2 linked regions of the Lepisosteus oculatus genome follow. The protein of the gene in region 2 purifies or fractionates together with the protein of the main gene of each other region. This does not show direct contact. Links are inferred from orthologs where the notes say so. Each region holds a gene or a part of one and is shown on either strand. Other genes may lie near its edges.

Evidence for each region. The genes of interacting proteins can lie anywhere in the genome.
Region 1: the proteins of abi1a (region 2) and brk1 purify together in Homo sapiens (co-immunoprecipitation; 3 studies listed by BioGRID and IntAct, with this or other methods). This does not show direct contact. The link is inferred for Lepisosteus oculatus from reciprocal best matches to the Homo sapiens genes ABI1 and BRK1.

The regions. Positions count from the first base shown.
Region 1 is NC_090699.1:53,752,946-53,760,899, reverse strand, and holds the start of brk1 (probable protein BRICK1), read right to left. Parts: upstream 3,227-7,954; 5' UTR 3,192-3,226; coding exon 3,074-3,191; intron 1,623-3,073; coding exon 1,540-1,622; intron 772-1,539; coding exon 745-771; 3' UTR 1-744. UniProt on the Homo sapiens protein: Involved in regulation of actin and microtubule organization. Part of a WAVE complex that activates the Arp2/3 complex. As component of the WAVE1 complex, required for BDNF-NTRK2 endocytic trafficking and signaling from early endosomes.
Region 2 is NC_090701.1:40,792,443-40,800,409, reverse strand, and holds the start of abi1a (abl interactor 1a), read right to left. Parts: upstream 3,366-7,967; 5' UTR 3,221-3,365; coding exon 3,104-3,220; intron 1-3,103. Other genes in the region: acbd5a (acyl-CoA-binding domain-containing protein 5A), read left to right, coding at 3,445-3,493, 4,589-4,675. UniProt on the Homo sapiens protein: May act in negative regulation of cell growth and transformation by interacting with nonreceptor tyrosine kinases ABL1 and/or ABL2. May play a role in regulation of EGF-induced Erk pathway activation. Involved in cytoskeletal reorganization and EGFR signaling.

The DNA of each region.
Region 1 (7,954 bases), on a different chromosome or scaffold from region 2:
ATGTATGTATGTAATGTATAGTACGAGCGCTGTTGGAAGGGGACATTCCAGGATCAGGGATGCAGACCCCTGCAGTACAGTGTCCACAATAAGAGAATTAACTTGGCACTCTGGGACTTCTCTTCATTTCCTGCACTGTGCCCATGATAGAAGGGTTATGACTGGTTGTCTCTGCTACACGAGCACCCTCTATGCATTCTGCAAGCACCACCTCCCTGTCTGCTTTAGTAAAAGAGGGATTAGGGGGTGAGGATTTCTAAAAGAAGGGGTGAGGTTTAAAGGTTCAAAGGACAGTTGGATTTTCAGTGACATTTTTTTTTAGTTACTGCTTCACTCATTCACAAGCACAAGGTACACTTCATGCTGCTTATAGTAGTTAACTCCTCATTCCTGCGGGCTACTGCGAGTTGTCTCCACGTTTACATTACCTGCTAAAATTATTATGCGGTGTTCTGTGCAGTTCTAAACACTGTCCTCAAATGCCACCATCATTTTGAGGAGAGTGCCAAAAGTAAGCAACAGGTCTTGGGACTTAAAAGATATCCAGAGGGATTAAGAGAAAAGGAAAGCCACGCACACATCTCATTTGGGAAGGTCTTTTAGTTGTCCCGTGCAAACACAAATGTGTCTAAAGTATGCAAGCATATTTTAAAAAATGTTATAAAATGGAAGAAGGTGATGTTTGGGTGCCATTGTTATACAGAGCTACTCCAGGCTCTTCTGAATCCTGTGTCCCCGTGCGGCCTAAGTCAATGTCTCCCCCTTTGTAACCTATACAGAAAGAAGAATAATGAGTTTAATATTAATGACATTCATCCTTCACTGGAAAGCACTTAGCATCCAGAAAAAAATGACATAATTATTTGGCTTTTGATGTTGTTAAAATATAGCTGATCTTAAAAAAACCTTTAATGTGCTATTAGCTTTGTCACTTTAACGACCAGAGACTAGTATTTATAAGCAAAGATACAGCTCTCAGTTATCACCTGTCTCATGGAAATTATGCATTTGGATATCTGCAATGAGACCAGGACATGAGCAGAAATCTGCCCTGCGGCTGTCTGCAGAGGAATTGCATTTTCAGTACAGAATCAAAACAGCAAATAAAGGCCATGAGGTACTGTATGAGTCAAAGGCAATACACTGAGTAGGTGTTACTGCAACACACTCTACCAGAATGAATCTGGAGATTGCAACATTAAAATATTGACTTTATGGTGAAGTTTTCTGACCCACCTACCCTCTTTTTGTAACAATGACTGTGCAGGGAAATGAAACACAAAAAAAAAACAAGTAATTTTCAATTCTCAAGGCAACTATCCCACATTCCCAATGACTGTGTGTACAATGAACACTCCTCCTACTAAACAATTCCCGTTCAATGGCGAGTCATCAGTTAATTGTGACTGGAACTTCGAGAACAAATACATTTGTCATTTTTTCCCCCCCTAGAAGGATGAAATGAAGCACAGGGAAATCCAGAATGCTAGTATTTAAATATTGAAGTATCAGTGCCCCACAACAGATCCTACTACTTACCCTAGCCTCAATGTATTCAATTCTCCTCTCCAGCGCCGTCAGCTTCTCATTCAGAGTTGCCAATCGGGACCGACAGGACATATCTATACATGAGAAACCTGCTGTTGAGTACTGCTGTAACACAACTGTGCAGCAGACAATCCTGCAGCTGTTGGGTCCAATCAGTTTAGCCCAAGCTGTCAGTGTGATGAGTGCAGGTCTCCCTACCGAGATTCAATCCGATCACTTGCAGGCTCCCAACATGCACTGTCTCCCTAGACAGCAGATATCCTCTCCTTGACAAAAGACCAGGTCTTTTGAGTTTTATAACTATCATACCAGAACCTATATCAAACAAGCCACTGCAGTTGACACTTTTAGTAACCTGAAAAAAAATACAAAATACTGAAGCATCTCCGATAGTTAGGAACACTGCTAAGTACTACATTGTTATACAACCCTAAAACCCTGTGACACAAAAGAGACTTTTTCAGCTGCCCCCTGGTTAACAGGTTCTCTTGAATTCAACATCACATTCCATGACAAGCTTTCCCTAGGGCAGAGAAGATGCTAAAAAACTGAAGATCCTCAGCACTAGGCAGTAGCCTATGTACTTGTTTCTGGGCTGCTAATAATAAAATAACGTGTTCACGTGTTCCTTCTTCAAGCAGGAGCTCCCCAGTCCCCAACACCTGCTAGTTTATTAATTGATCTAATAACCGGATTGATTTGAAACCTCCAATTATTTCCAGGTCCTAAACATGTTGGAGATCGCCTTCTGACTTCTGCAATTCATAAGTCCATCATTTGAGTGGAACAAAATTGCAAATGCTCCAATCAAGCACAGTGTTGGCTCAATTAAGTGTTCAATTAGGGAAAATGTTAGGTTAGGTGCGTTACACCCAAAGAATAAGGTTGGATACCCCCTGCTTTAAGCAATATGATAACAAATTTACATGTACATCATGGGGCAACATCAGGGAAACATCAAAACTGCAGCAACATCTATAGTGCACTGGGGCTGTCCAGAGGCGGAAGCTGTAAAATGGCCTCAGGTCTGAATTCGTGTCCTAATGTGCCTGTTCCTATAGAGTAATTTAACCTCTTTCAAATAACGTGGCTGAGCAAAGATAATTACATTCATAACCCCATCCGGACCACCCAGTAACGGAATGCTAAACGTTGACAAGATTTCTGTTTAAAAAAAAATCCTACGGAATGGGTTTAAAGAGCTATCTGGTACAAATAAAAATACAAATCACCCAGATTTATGGGTGTATGCTTTAACTAAATACAACTGCCCTATCCCTTGAGGATGTTGACCGAACATACTCTTAAACGTTACGTCGCTCAAAGCCCACCGAATTAAAAGACTGACAGTTTCAGCTAAGATATGTATTATAAATTGCAACAGTGTGGTTTATGTCATACAGTACTTAAATACAACAGAAAACCCGATGCATTTTAAGAATGAGACGGCAGCAGGGCAAGGCCTAGTTTTCTGTATTAAACATCTCTGACCCTTCATATTCGCCTTCAGTTCAAAATCTCTTACCGAACGAGTTGAGGAAATCTGCGATTTTCTTAATGCTGCTGGTAATAACTTCTATATATTCTCGATTTGCCCAGTCTTGGTGAATCTCTCTCTGGACGGGATCTTCCTGGCCGGCCATTTTCCCGCAGATCTGGACTGAGACAGAGCGCCGCCTACCTGCTGTTCCCCCGCCGAGACTGTACCACATTTCAACAGGAGAGGGCGCTATTAATACACAAGTCGCAGCTACGCTCAGAAGTGTTCGGGCTGATCGAAGTGTTGTGAAATAAAGCTTCCGTCCGTCGCCATCGTTTGTCTCGAAATGTGATTTGTAATATTAATTTTCGTCATTTTCCTTACTGTTTTTTTTTGTTTAATGTTGAAAAGGGAAACCCTGCAACGCAAGAAAGGTGACAAACAAGATGAGGCAATTCGGTATACCTAACTGGCTTAATTGCTATGTAGCTGAGTGATCAGATGATATCATGCAGCTGTCTCTAGACAGAAACCATTGTATCGGTGTCAGCATGTTAATAGGTATCTTGTTCCATGTTCTCAAACATATTTCTGTATGTTCTGTAAATATGCGTCTTCTGTTCTTGGTTTGGTTAGATGCTCTTCTATATAATTTATGCTTGAGTGGGCTATAAAAATATACGTACGAAATGTAAGGACGTACAGCGTGTTTCACACCGAAGATGGTTATTTAAAAGACCGTGAAAAAATGGAAGTTAGTATTTATATAGGACAAGATATGTCTTAAAGCGTCTAACGCCTTTCACTACTTCTATGAAAGAACCGCCGTACTTTGCTTAGTCCAATCCTCTTCTTACTCCCGAAACAATAGTTATTAATACTGCATAAGTCTCGATATATACAGTTACTCCAGGAATCGGTTTTTAAACCCATTTGAAGGTAAAGACAACGTGAATATCCAACTTTATTTTTACCTACTTGAACTATAGCTTTATTTTTGCCGAGTCATCATGAAAAAGGCTAATTATTTTCTACTGGCATCGCAGATTGTTTTCCAAGTTAAATTCGCCTACATACCCCTATTTACATACTATCACACTTTATCACCCAATAAAGATTATTTTGTGTTGTCCCTTTTATTAACTCTGGTGCAATTAAAACTGAGATTGCCGACACTGAAATAAGCGATTTCTAACCTATCTCGTTTCCTTACACAATATCTATTTCCTCCTGTTACAATAGGAGGCCTTGGTCCGTTTGTACACCACCCTGCTAACATCGGTTATTTCAAACCTTACATACAAAAGAGATAAAGCTATCGTTTCCTTTCACAGCGTTATCTGATATAGGAACATACTTTGTGCTTTTTTGTCGTTTTATACATTGATTAAAATATCGAAAACATTTTCCTTTTGCAGGAGTTCTTGGGCACTTTGGGGTTATTTCTCAACACAAATATTCCATTTAGCCCCACGCATAAATATTACGCATAGACGCAGAAGCCGCCTAGTGTTCTGTTTTGTTCATATAAGGGTTTCTGTAATTTGCATTTTGGAAAACTTCCTCAAAAAATTATTAACATTTGAAGGCCAGCCCCTTAACACCTCCCCTTTCCTTGCGCACCACCTGGAACCAGCGTCTCCAGGCTCGGGTACAAAAGGGACCTGACAGCGGGAAAGCAGGACAGTCTTTGGGTTTCAAGATGGCTGGAGGGATGAAGAAGTTTTACGATTTCTCGATGAATCTCCTGTCCACGGGAGAAGCGTATAACTTCTCCACGCTGAAGGGCAAGGTCGTGCTGATCGAGAACGTGGCGTCTCTCTGAGGCACGACCACCAGGGATTACACCCAGATGAACCAGCTCCAGCAGCGCTACGGCGCCCAGGGGCTGGTGGTACTGGGGGTGCCCTGTAACCAGTTCGGATATCAGGTAGGGAGGTTACTCCTTCTGACCGCAGGAGCAATTTCCTTTAGCTTGAAGTACCTTAGTGGCTCTCTAGTTTCATAGGAAGTTAGAAAAACGGTAACTTTGTGACGTTTCCGTTATCTGGTGAAGGCAAGGCTTCACCTGAGTTCACAAGGAAATGGAAATCTCATAATTTCGATGGTACTTTTTATTGCTTAATGTTCAGGTTTTTTTTTGCGAGCTGTTTGCACATGAGCCGCTGAAATAATCTTGTTTATCTTTTGGGCTATCGGTTAAAAGGAAACGGTAATCGTTCGGTTTTTCAAGTGTGTATTCTTAATTGATTGAAGTGAAATATTAGCTTTGAAGTAACCTAAATGATTAAACTTCAGTTCTTTTTTTGTTGTGTGGTAATCGGGCGTTGTAAGCCCCATTTTTTTTATATATTAGACCAATTGTGATAATGTTGCAGGAGGACTGAGTTGTCGCGTTGAACAAATTGTTTTTGGGAGGCTAGGATTTACAGGACCCATTTACCAACATACTGGGAGAAAATGTCCCAGTGAAATAATGATAATAATTATGATGGTAAAACAAAGTTCATTCGGTTTTTCAGGGATAATCAACCTTAACACTTTTTTAGTTCAACGCCATTAAATACATTTTAAACATTACAATAAATTACTGAATTGATTCCTAACTGATGGCAAGTTTAAAAATGAAAAATTATCTGGAGAAAATGGAGGTGCTATAACTGCTCTGGCTGTTTTTGTACTCGGCTATTATACTCTAATCCTGTAGTGCTTCAATTGACTATAAAAGGGTTATTAGATATATTTCAGACATTCAGTTGAGCCATTTATAACCAATTATGTTCCTACAATTCCACAGGAGAATTGTAAGAACGAAGAGATTCTCAATTCCTTGAAGTATGTCCGTCCAGGCAATGGGTTTGTGCCGGATTTCCTTCTGACGCAGAAGGTGGATGTGAATGGGAAGGATGCCCACCCCCTGTTCACATTCCTTAAGGAGCAGTTGCCTTACCCCAGTGATGACAACCTGTCCCTCATGACCGACCCCAAGTACATCATCTGGAGCCCGGTCTGCAGGAATGACATCTCGTGGAACTTCGAGAAGTTCCTCATTGGCCCTGATGGCAAGCCGTTCAAGCGCTACAGCAGACGATTTCTCACCAGCGACATCGAGGAAGACGTCAAAAAGCTGCTGAGCTTGGCCAAGTAGACAGGCCCTTTCTTTAGAGAAGCATTAGTGTGGCTAGAGATAAGCCTGAAGTAACATGAGCGCCATGAAAGATAGTAATGATTCTGCTTCATCTGTTAATCTGCAGTCTGCACATTTTCAGAAATAGTGGGTTTCTTCTTTGCTTCACACAACTGTCGCTGTGTATCTCTTAACACCAAATTGGCGAGACTGTTATTTCTTGCCTGCTTTTGCCTCTGCGAGAAAAGCATGTGGGTGTCTCCCAACTCTGTTTATGCTCTCTAGAGCAAGGTGCTGCTGTGTTTAGTCTCTTTACTGAATGAAGGTGCCCTTTGAAACATGTGCAGAGAAGGGTGTCTGATGTAAATGTAAAAGCCTTAACCTAACAGTAGCATTTGGCCCTCGTAAAGCATAGCTGAGTTACTGGGATTTTGTGTATTGTGGAAAAATAAATTTTCTTTACAAAGAATGTGATTGTAAACTTTGGTTTATTTACTATCCCCCTTCCACTCAGTATCCTTGAACAATTAAAATTTATTATAGAAGGGCTTCAATTGGGACTTTTACCAGAAGTTTTTTTTTTAAATACTGAGCTCATTCCATCGCCTGTTTGCTCCATTTCATTTTTATGCTTTTTTGATTACTGATTACTTTCTATTTGGCATCTTTCATTTGCCTACCCTTTTATTTATCTTTCACCCTGATTCACCCATAGCTCAGAGCAGTTTTCAAGGTCATATGATGAATGCTTCAGTTTGCAATAACCGAGTCATGCTGACGGAGGGGGAAAAAAGTAAAGCCATTTACATTTTCCTCCATCACTCAAACACTATTTTGTTTATTCTTTCTCATTACATTAATAGTTACAGAAGTTGTGATTCACGTCTTGTTCAAGTTTTTAGTCAAGCTTCAGTTGCAAGGCCTTTTTTATCTAGATCTGTACCTTTTACTGTAAATAATCCCAATAGATATTAAGAAGATTGGGGGGTAACTTGCATAAAGTGACTAATAGTATTGAGGTGTAATTATTTCATTTATGGCCTAACAAGGAATAAAAATACTCCAGATATTTTTTTTTTAACATGTAAAGCCTGTGAAATACCTCTACTTCCGTTATTCCAATTGTATACTATTTGAATACTTTCAATTTCCAGTATAAAAATGTAAATGTTAAACATGCATTCACTGTAGTGAAAAGATATTTGATTTGTTAAGCCGGGTTAGTTTTGCTTGTAGCACACTTCCTCTTAAAGTTGTGCAAGATGTTAATTTTTTAAACTATAATTCCTCAATGTGTTGCATCAGAAGAGAAAACCCTCTCGTGTTAAGTTTTATTGGGATGAAAAAAAACATGTGGTTTCCGGAGTTCTATAAATCAGCCAGATTTCTGAAAGTGTGAGATAGTCTTCCTCCCAGTTATTTAAACCATGAACTAAGAAAACATCAAATCTGACAAATTCTAAACAGGTATTTTGGAACTGAAGTGTGTAGTTTCTTAGAATTAAAATGTTGCTATAATGATTACTTTCTATTTGGCATCTTTCATTTGCCTACCCTTTTATTTGGAATCTTTCACCCTGATTCACCCATAGCTCAGAGCAGTTTTCAAGGTCATATGATGAATGCTTCAGATTGCAATAACCGAGTCATGCTGACGGAGGAAAAAAAGTAAAGCCCTTGGTTTATTCTTTTTAATTTCATTAATAGTTACAGAAGCTGTGATTCACATCTTGTTCAAAAGTTTTTAGTCAAGCTTCAGTTTTTTATAACTACCTACCAAATATAACCAATACTGTTTT
Region 2 (7,967 bases):
TCCGAAACCAGCGCTCGGCCTCGAGGGGGGGTGGGGGAGGAGGAGAAGTCGCACAACTGGCTGAGCGATGATCACCTTGCTGCCTTTCAGCCGTCCGCTACATTAAGGCTCTTTCGGGTTCGACAGCCTCCCGCTACTTCAAAAGAAACATTTCTACCGCTTTAAAAAAAAAGGCAGCGCATCTCAAGCTTCACCGCAGGTTCGGGCTTGGCTGAAAAAATAAAGCCTTTTTTTTTTAAAGAGAGAAAAATCTGCATTGCTAGTACAGATGATCTAGAGATCACACTCGGCAGTACGTATCAGTGGGTGGGAAACACGGTGAGCCACTTGCTCAGCGAGGACTGTTCACTTAGGCAGTTCTCGACAGAACACAGCCACGCCTTGGACTTGTGGTTAAGAGTTCAGAAACACTACCTCGAAAACCCCACAAACAGCTACACCAATTAGTCACATCTACGGAGTTTTCACAAACAAAAACAGCATGCCTGCCAAACGGTGCGTTATTAAGCCTCCAAAACCTTCTCATTGCATTTCCTTACTAATTCTGCCCATCTAGGTATTCGGCTGTATGTGGCAACACTTGCCTTTCCTCGCTAAAACAAAACAGTCGAAAATCTTGGACTGTCTTGTCTGTAATCTCGCGGGCACAAAGGGCCTATTGATGGCAGAGGCAAAGTTGGAATGTCAATAGAACAGATCAGGTGTCTTGCGTTTTAAACTGCACAGGAAAACCCTTGACCATTATCAATCCTTTCATTTGGAGAACATGCGCGTGCTTCCCTGACAGACGCTGGATAAAGATGTCGCTGCATCGCTCGTCACCTTAGTTCAAAGAAGCAAATTTTCATTTAAATGGGCCCACAAAGGAGAAAAGGAAAAGTCTGGTGCTGAACAAATTAATCCCAAATCCATTCAAGAGTTAGTCAATAGCAGGAAGTCAAATATTTCTCTGAAGTGGCCTTTGGCCTTGTGACAGACACACCTTAAAGGCTTGTAAGCTATCAAACCCACAAAACACTTTTGCAGTTCATGCGATCAAACATCCTGGCCATATCCATAATGACATCTATCTATTGTACTGCCCCGACTATGAAAGAGTGTTTAACCACAAACCTAACCTACTTCTGTTTTTTATTTTCCTCAAAATGGTATTTTAAGAACCTGCATTTAAGGCTAGGCTGCCAGCTGACTATAATCCACTGACCAGAAGCCTTGAAAATCAGACCAGAAAAAAATGGAGCCAAAATCAGACACTAAATGAGGGTTTCAGTTACTTTAAGAAAATCTCTCCCCCAGACACTTTTCACACTGCACACAGACGACTAACAACAAACAGCTAATGTGAAGTAGTAACACAGTGTGTTAAAGGGCAACACGGGCTTTGCTTAAAACTAAAGGCTTTATTTAACGTATTCATATTTTCTCAATAAAATAGCTGGGAGGTAGTCTATCAAAATCAGTCATTAAAAGGCAAAGTGAGATGTTTCCATCATAAAACGTATAGAATCACTCAAAACACTGGGCTCACAGTGCAAAATCTAATATTCTGCGGGTATAGTGCATAAAGGGGACCAATGAGTTGTTCAATTTCGTAAGTACTCCTGTAATCACTGAAGAATACATTTTGACGTGCACCTGTGAAATCTGTTTTGAATAAGTTCATACTATACCCCTTGCAAGCTTTAAGCAGTCATACAGTATCGACATACATTACCTAAGATCAGGGTTGCTTTAAATATTTCGAGGTGAACGTGTTTAGACAACTATCAGCACGCAAGAAATAAACCTTCAACTGTTTGATGAAGCTACAGAAAGGAAAGCACGTCCAGCAAGCGGCCAGATTCAACCATTTCAAGAATGCAGGACAAGCAGCTGCCGTCCGCCAGCCACGTCCTGGAAACACAAGTTTCCCCAGCAGTGACGGAGCACGGCTACTTCCAGGTTACATGTTGACACTGGCACATATGAAGGCATGTTCTCCCGCAACTGATGGCGAACTATATCGGCAGTTTACTCTTCAAGACGATGAAAACCGGAGCACCTCAAACACCCAACGGCAAAACGCGTGCTAACTAACACCTTACATTTCGTTTCCCCCCCAATGATAACACTATTGAACCAAGACATCTCGCCAGAGATGCCAAACCACAATTTGGGCGTAGGAATACACAAGACGTCAATCTTCAGTTTTTGAAGTCCGATTTCGTCGCATACTGTATACGCCTGTGTGGCGGTCACGCCGTTAGTCTTCACGTTGAAAAATAAATTGGCAAATTTCAGCTACTAGGAAGCGGCGGCGCCGTGGTGTTAAAAACGATTGGGCAAGAGTCGGCAAATAAGGTGCAATTTAGGAGGAGATTACCAGCATTACCTAATGTACCTGGCAGCGTGGGGTGCGTTTACATCACATTAATGCACTAAAGGTATTAAACCAGAAGATCGGCTGTACACAGCAGCCTATTGAACAGTAAACAGTCACGCTAATCAGAAAAGAGCGGTTCTCTTTTCCATACATAACTACGGATAGCTGGACAAAAAAAAACATCTTACACTTCACGTCTCAAGTTTGTGTGCATTACTTACTGGATAAATGCGGGCTACTAGTGCAGAAAAGAATCGAAAACGGAAGACCGCGTGAGCCCCTCCATTCCCTCAAATAAAAGTTTCTCAAACGAGATCCAAAACGTTACACGTATTTAAACTCTACATGCGTTTCCCCGTCGGCGAATGAGCCATTCCTGGATTTAAATCAAGAGCCTCCAGTCGAAATATAACAAGATAAGGAAAAGACACACCCTCCGGACTAGCGAACCAGACTGATCGCGAAACGGTGGAAATGAATGGGAACAAGATCTGCCGTTTCCCTGCCGATAAGGGACGAGCCGCTGTCGGTAAAAACGCAGACAACTTTAAAGACGGGCCACATCGGGGGGGTATTTTCGAAAAGATTTTGAAACCCCGTTTTAATCCCTTCGAGTTTCGCTGCAACATTCACATTTCCTGTCTCCGGCTCCCCACACTTCCACGGGGAAAGAAAAAAAAGCCGAGGCATCCACTTCGCATCTCGGAATTACATCGCTTTCTTTTTTTTTCCCTTTCTTACCTGAACATAATTGTTTTCACAGTAATCAGCGACCCTGGTGAGGTTCTGGTAGCTCTCCACCAGAGCTCTTTTGCCGGCTGGAATTTCTTCCTCTAACAACATCTGCAGCTCTGCCATCTTACATCTCTCTGCATTTCTTCTTCTCCTTCCCTTTGATCGAACCCACAAGCTCTGCCCCAGAAAGCTGCTCCTCCGCCTGGTATTGTGGGATTCCTGGCCTCGCTTTCGCCACCGCGACCTTTCACCAGCCGGGCTCGCGCACACGAGCACCGCCGCAGCAGGGAGACGCAGGAACCCGCAGAGGTGCACGCTGGGACCTGTAGTCTTGAAGCGAAACCTCGATGATGACACTGTCGCTATCAAGTGTGGGAAAAGACACATTTCGCGCGTGTATGTATACGTTGAGAGAGACTGGAAAGCCATTGCTGATATAGACGGTTAACTTTTACGCTTTGCGTAGATGACAGAAGATATTCTCTCTTTTCCGCCACCCCTGCTTTAACGTGATAATTGTCTTTAACTATTTGAACTGTTCTTCCTATCCGCTGAACGTCGGTGAAAAAGATGTGACTCGTATATGTATGTATGCTATACGTAATCTAAGAGTGTATTCTTAGAACTAAGCTTGATTTTAATTATTTTGATACATTCATCAGGCATTTAAAATGATGGATATTTTATGCTTGTCTAAATATCGTGAAAAAATATACATTGTTCTTTAGACGCATGTAAGAAAATTAATACATTTCCAGAAATCTTAAATCCTGTCACACGCAATTCTGTAAAAATATTATGCATAGATTGAGACTTGATACTTTATTAAGGCTGTTAATTTATTAAAATATCCTCTATATTACTACAATTCCCACAAAACACTATATTTAATACTGCATTGTGGTTTTTGTAGTCAATTTGACTGAACTCTGTTTTCTGGTACACTCGCCCGTGGCCTTAAAAAACTACAAATCCCCTGGACGTAGCGCTAATGTCAGATTTGTGTTGGTTCCTATTTAGAGACGTATTTGAGAAGTCAACGTATTTACAGTAGGTACATCATGTTTATCTAGTATTTTAACTATTTAATATACAAGGGTATGACAGGTATACGAATTTTGAGGTGTGGACGTAGCTAAGTCTGTGCAAATTTGTTCTTTGTAATTTTGAACTCTTGTAACAATTTAGCCCTATGTCACGAGAGGAATGACCTGTTCGGCAAATACTGTTTACGTCTGTGTGCCGAGTGATTAATATTTAATTCTCCTTTTTAAAAGCTCAATGAAACTTTGAAATGTTGAGTTGATCAGTGCAGTAACTAACCATGTAATTATTCAATTTAGTTATAAAACCGTTTAACAAATACGTCGTTCTTTTCTGAAGACTGTCGGTACTCAAAAGTACACTTTAATCTTATATGCAGCTGGTGAGCTGCTCCAGTTCATATTTGTAATCCCCAGGTTTAAAGATTTGTCGCTGACTCTTTTGCAGCCTCTGTCATAATGGCGGATGAAAAACCAATCCACGAGCAACGATTTGATGCTGCAGTGAAAGTAATTCAGAGTTTACCGCAAAATGGTAAGTGCTTCGATTTCTGCTTTATTACACGAGACTACCTGCAAATTACTTCTGGATAATAGCACCTTGATCCAGCAGGACTTCGTGTTAGTTTTTGTTGGTAGCCGTGTGTCTGCGGAAATGAAAATCTATCTTTCATTTAAGGCATTATAGATGAAGTAAACTGAAGTTTACTGTAAACAAGTAGTAACGGGTCCTTTGTTTGGGTGCTGAAATTACAATAGGTTACTGTGTTGACCCATTCCTGTCTTGTAAGCATTTCATTTGAAAGGCAGTGGATGCAGCTACCTGTTCAGAGGAACTTTCTACTCAAATTGGATCTTTCTCCCAAATATTATATTGCAGTGCCCCTGTCTTTGCTGCTCGATAACATTGTCTTGGCTTTAGCTGGGGTTCCATGCAGTAAACGTGGTAATTTGGTGGATACAGTTTTATATATATCTATTCAATTTCGTTTTAATGAACTGGAACACCATGTGTTTCATCCCATCGGTAGAAGACGATTGGTTATCTTTTCAAAGATTGTTTTAGCAATATAATCAACAACATTATCACATTTCACCACTCGTGATGCTGATTTGAGTAACAAAATCGCGAGAGCCCCTGGCCTATCCCTGTGCGAGAGTGTTCAATGCCAGGGCCTCTTCAGAAAATAACTATTATCTTTCCTGCAAGTTAGACAAAAGTCCACAAAAGCTAGTAAAAGCTCTAAAACATTACAATAATATATTCTTAGACCTCTTACACAAAGCTTTGGAAGTTAATTAAAATTATGAAGGATAAGTCAATTTAGGTACTGCCAAAATACTGTTATGACAACGAAAAACACATTTAATTCAGTCACTGAACATCTCATTTATACTGATATGGTTGCGTGTTTTCTAGGTCAATTTTTAACAACAAGGCTGATTTGGTTGAATCTGTTGTGGTCAAGTTCCAGAGTCCCTTCATTTTTATTATGCAGCAAGTTACTGAGTCAATACAAACTGAACTTGGAAGACTGACAGTGATAAGACCTCTGATCACAAGGGTATTGAACCAGTTCTGATCAAATTAGACACTCATTTAATATCTACTCTGCTGTTTCATTTATTCCAACTCCTTGTAATCCTAACAGACTCAGAATAGTCCCTTGTTCTGTCTCTGTTTTGAAGAGGCTGTTAAATCAGACTCTTGACTGCTGTAGATCTGTATTCACTTTTCCCTGCCTTTCTAAGAACATGTGAAAAATTGCTCGCAAACAGTTCAGCTCTTTTTAGACAGTTTTCTTTTAGCAGATACACAGCCTGTTTTCTTTCAGGGTGTGATTGCCATCTTAAAGGTTCTCAAGGATATTATAATCACGTTGGATCAAAATCACATTTCTGCAGCCTTCTCGATTGTTTTATCTACAGCGTTTGATATGGTGAATCACTGTATACTTCCAAAAAGTTGCATTTAGGATTCATGTTGTTTATAAAATCTCTCATATGATGTTGCTATTACTTACACAACTACAGAGTGAATATACTACTTCTGTTAATAATAAGATAGTTTGTTGCACACCCTTTAAAAGTCCATCGGGTTTCAATCACTGGTCCATACGGTCTTCTTCATGTGTGTTAGCAGTATTGCTCAGTCAAAAGATAAGTCTCTTATCTACTTATATGTGATGACCATCTTACACTTCACAGGATGCACTTTATCTTTAATGACTAATCTTCAGTTTTGTTTACACAGAATTCAGTAGGCTTTCTATAAACTTGACCTTTTTCTAAGCATTAATAAAACAAATATACTAATAAAACTAATAACAGCACTACTAAAACTGTATGCTGTGTAATAAATGATTCTTTGAACTTCTCCCTGAGTAACTTGTGCAAAATGCTTCAGGAAAGATCATGTGAGGAGCAGGTCACATTTTGTAAATATCTAGACATCTAGTGGAATAGTGCTTTAATGTTCATAATTTATATTAAGAAAATGCACGCTTAAATGTAGGTTTTGTTTCTACTCTTATTAGGCTTGATTCAGGTTTCTTTAGGTTATACTAGTTCAAATGTTTGCACTCCACATTAAGGACCATGGTGATGTTTTACAGGGCTTATAAAGCAGTTTTGGGGAATTCTGATGTCTTTCAGTACCTAGTTCTGCAGAGCGACAAGCCACCAGAGTTTTCTGGGTTGCCCTTAAAACCTGCTCTTTTTAACACTTGGAACAATTTTGTTTCATTTCCATTAGCAGGTAAACTTTATCCGTTAAGTAATCATTTGAACTGAAAATGCCAAACATCCTGAAGCTCTCGGAGATCACAGTTGACCTTTACTGACTTCACTGAACCAAACGATCTATTGAATTTACTGAATTTGTTACTGATTTATTTTTTCCCCACTGACACCCCTTACCAAACACATCATTAGCAGCCATATCACCCTGCAACTCACAACTGGCAACCCACTGAAGCTAAGCAGGCCTGAGCCTGGTCAGTACCTGGATGGGAGACCTCCTGGGAAAAACTAAGGCTGCTGCTGGAAGAGGTGTTAGTGGGGCCAGCAGGGGGCACTCACCCTGTGGTTGTGTGGGTCCTAATGCCCCAGTATAGTGACGGGGACACTATACTGTAAACAGGCGCCGTCCTTCGGATGAGACGTAAAACCGAGGTCCTGACTCTCTGTGGTCATTAAAAATCCCAGGGCGCTTCTCGAAAAGAGTAGGGGACACCTGTAACCCCGGAGTCCTGGCCAAATTTCCCATTGTCCCTCACCAATCATGGCCTCCTAATAATCCCCATCTATGAATTGGCTTCATTACTCTGCTCTCCTCCCCACTGAGAGCTGGTGTGTGGCGAAACATGGTGCACTATGGCTGCACTGGGGCTGCACATTGGTGGTGGTGGAGGGGAGACCCCATTACCTGTAAAGCGCTTTGAGTGGAGTGTCCAGAAAAGAGCTATATAAGTGTAAGCAATTATTATTATTATTATTATTATTATTATTATCTACATAGCTGATGGACACAAGTTAGGAAAATACTTTCCCCTCGTCATAATTTATTGTGCCTAAATCAATTTAATCAGACTAAATCAATTTAAGATTTAGTCTATACATCCATTTGGTAAGTGCTTTATACAATTCAGGGTCACGGGGGTAGCTGGAGCCCGTCTTGGCGAGCGACGGGCCCAAGGCGGGGTGTTCCGCCCCCCTGAATGGGACACTGGTCCGTCACAGGGCAGGCACAAATACGCACACCCTTGCACCAGGGCCTATTTCCCCAGAAGCCAGTTAACCTGCCGGCATGTCTTTGGACCGTGAGA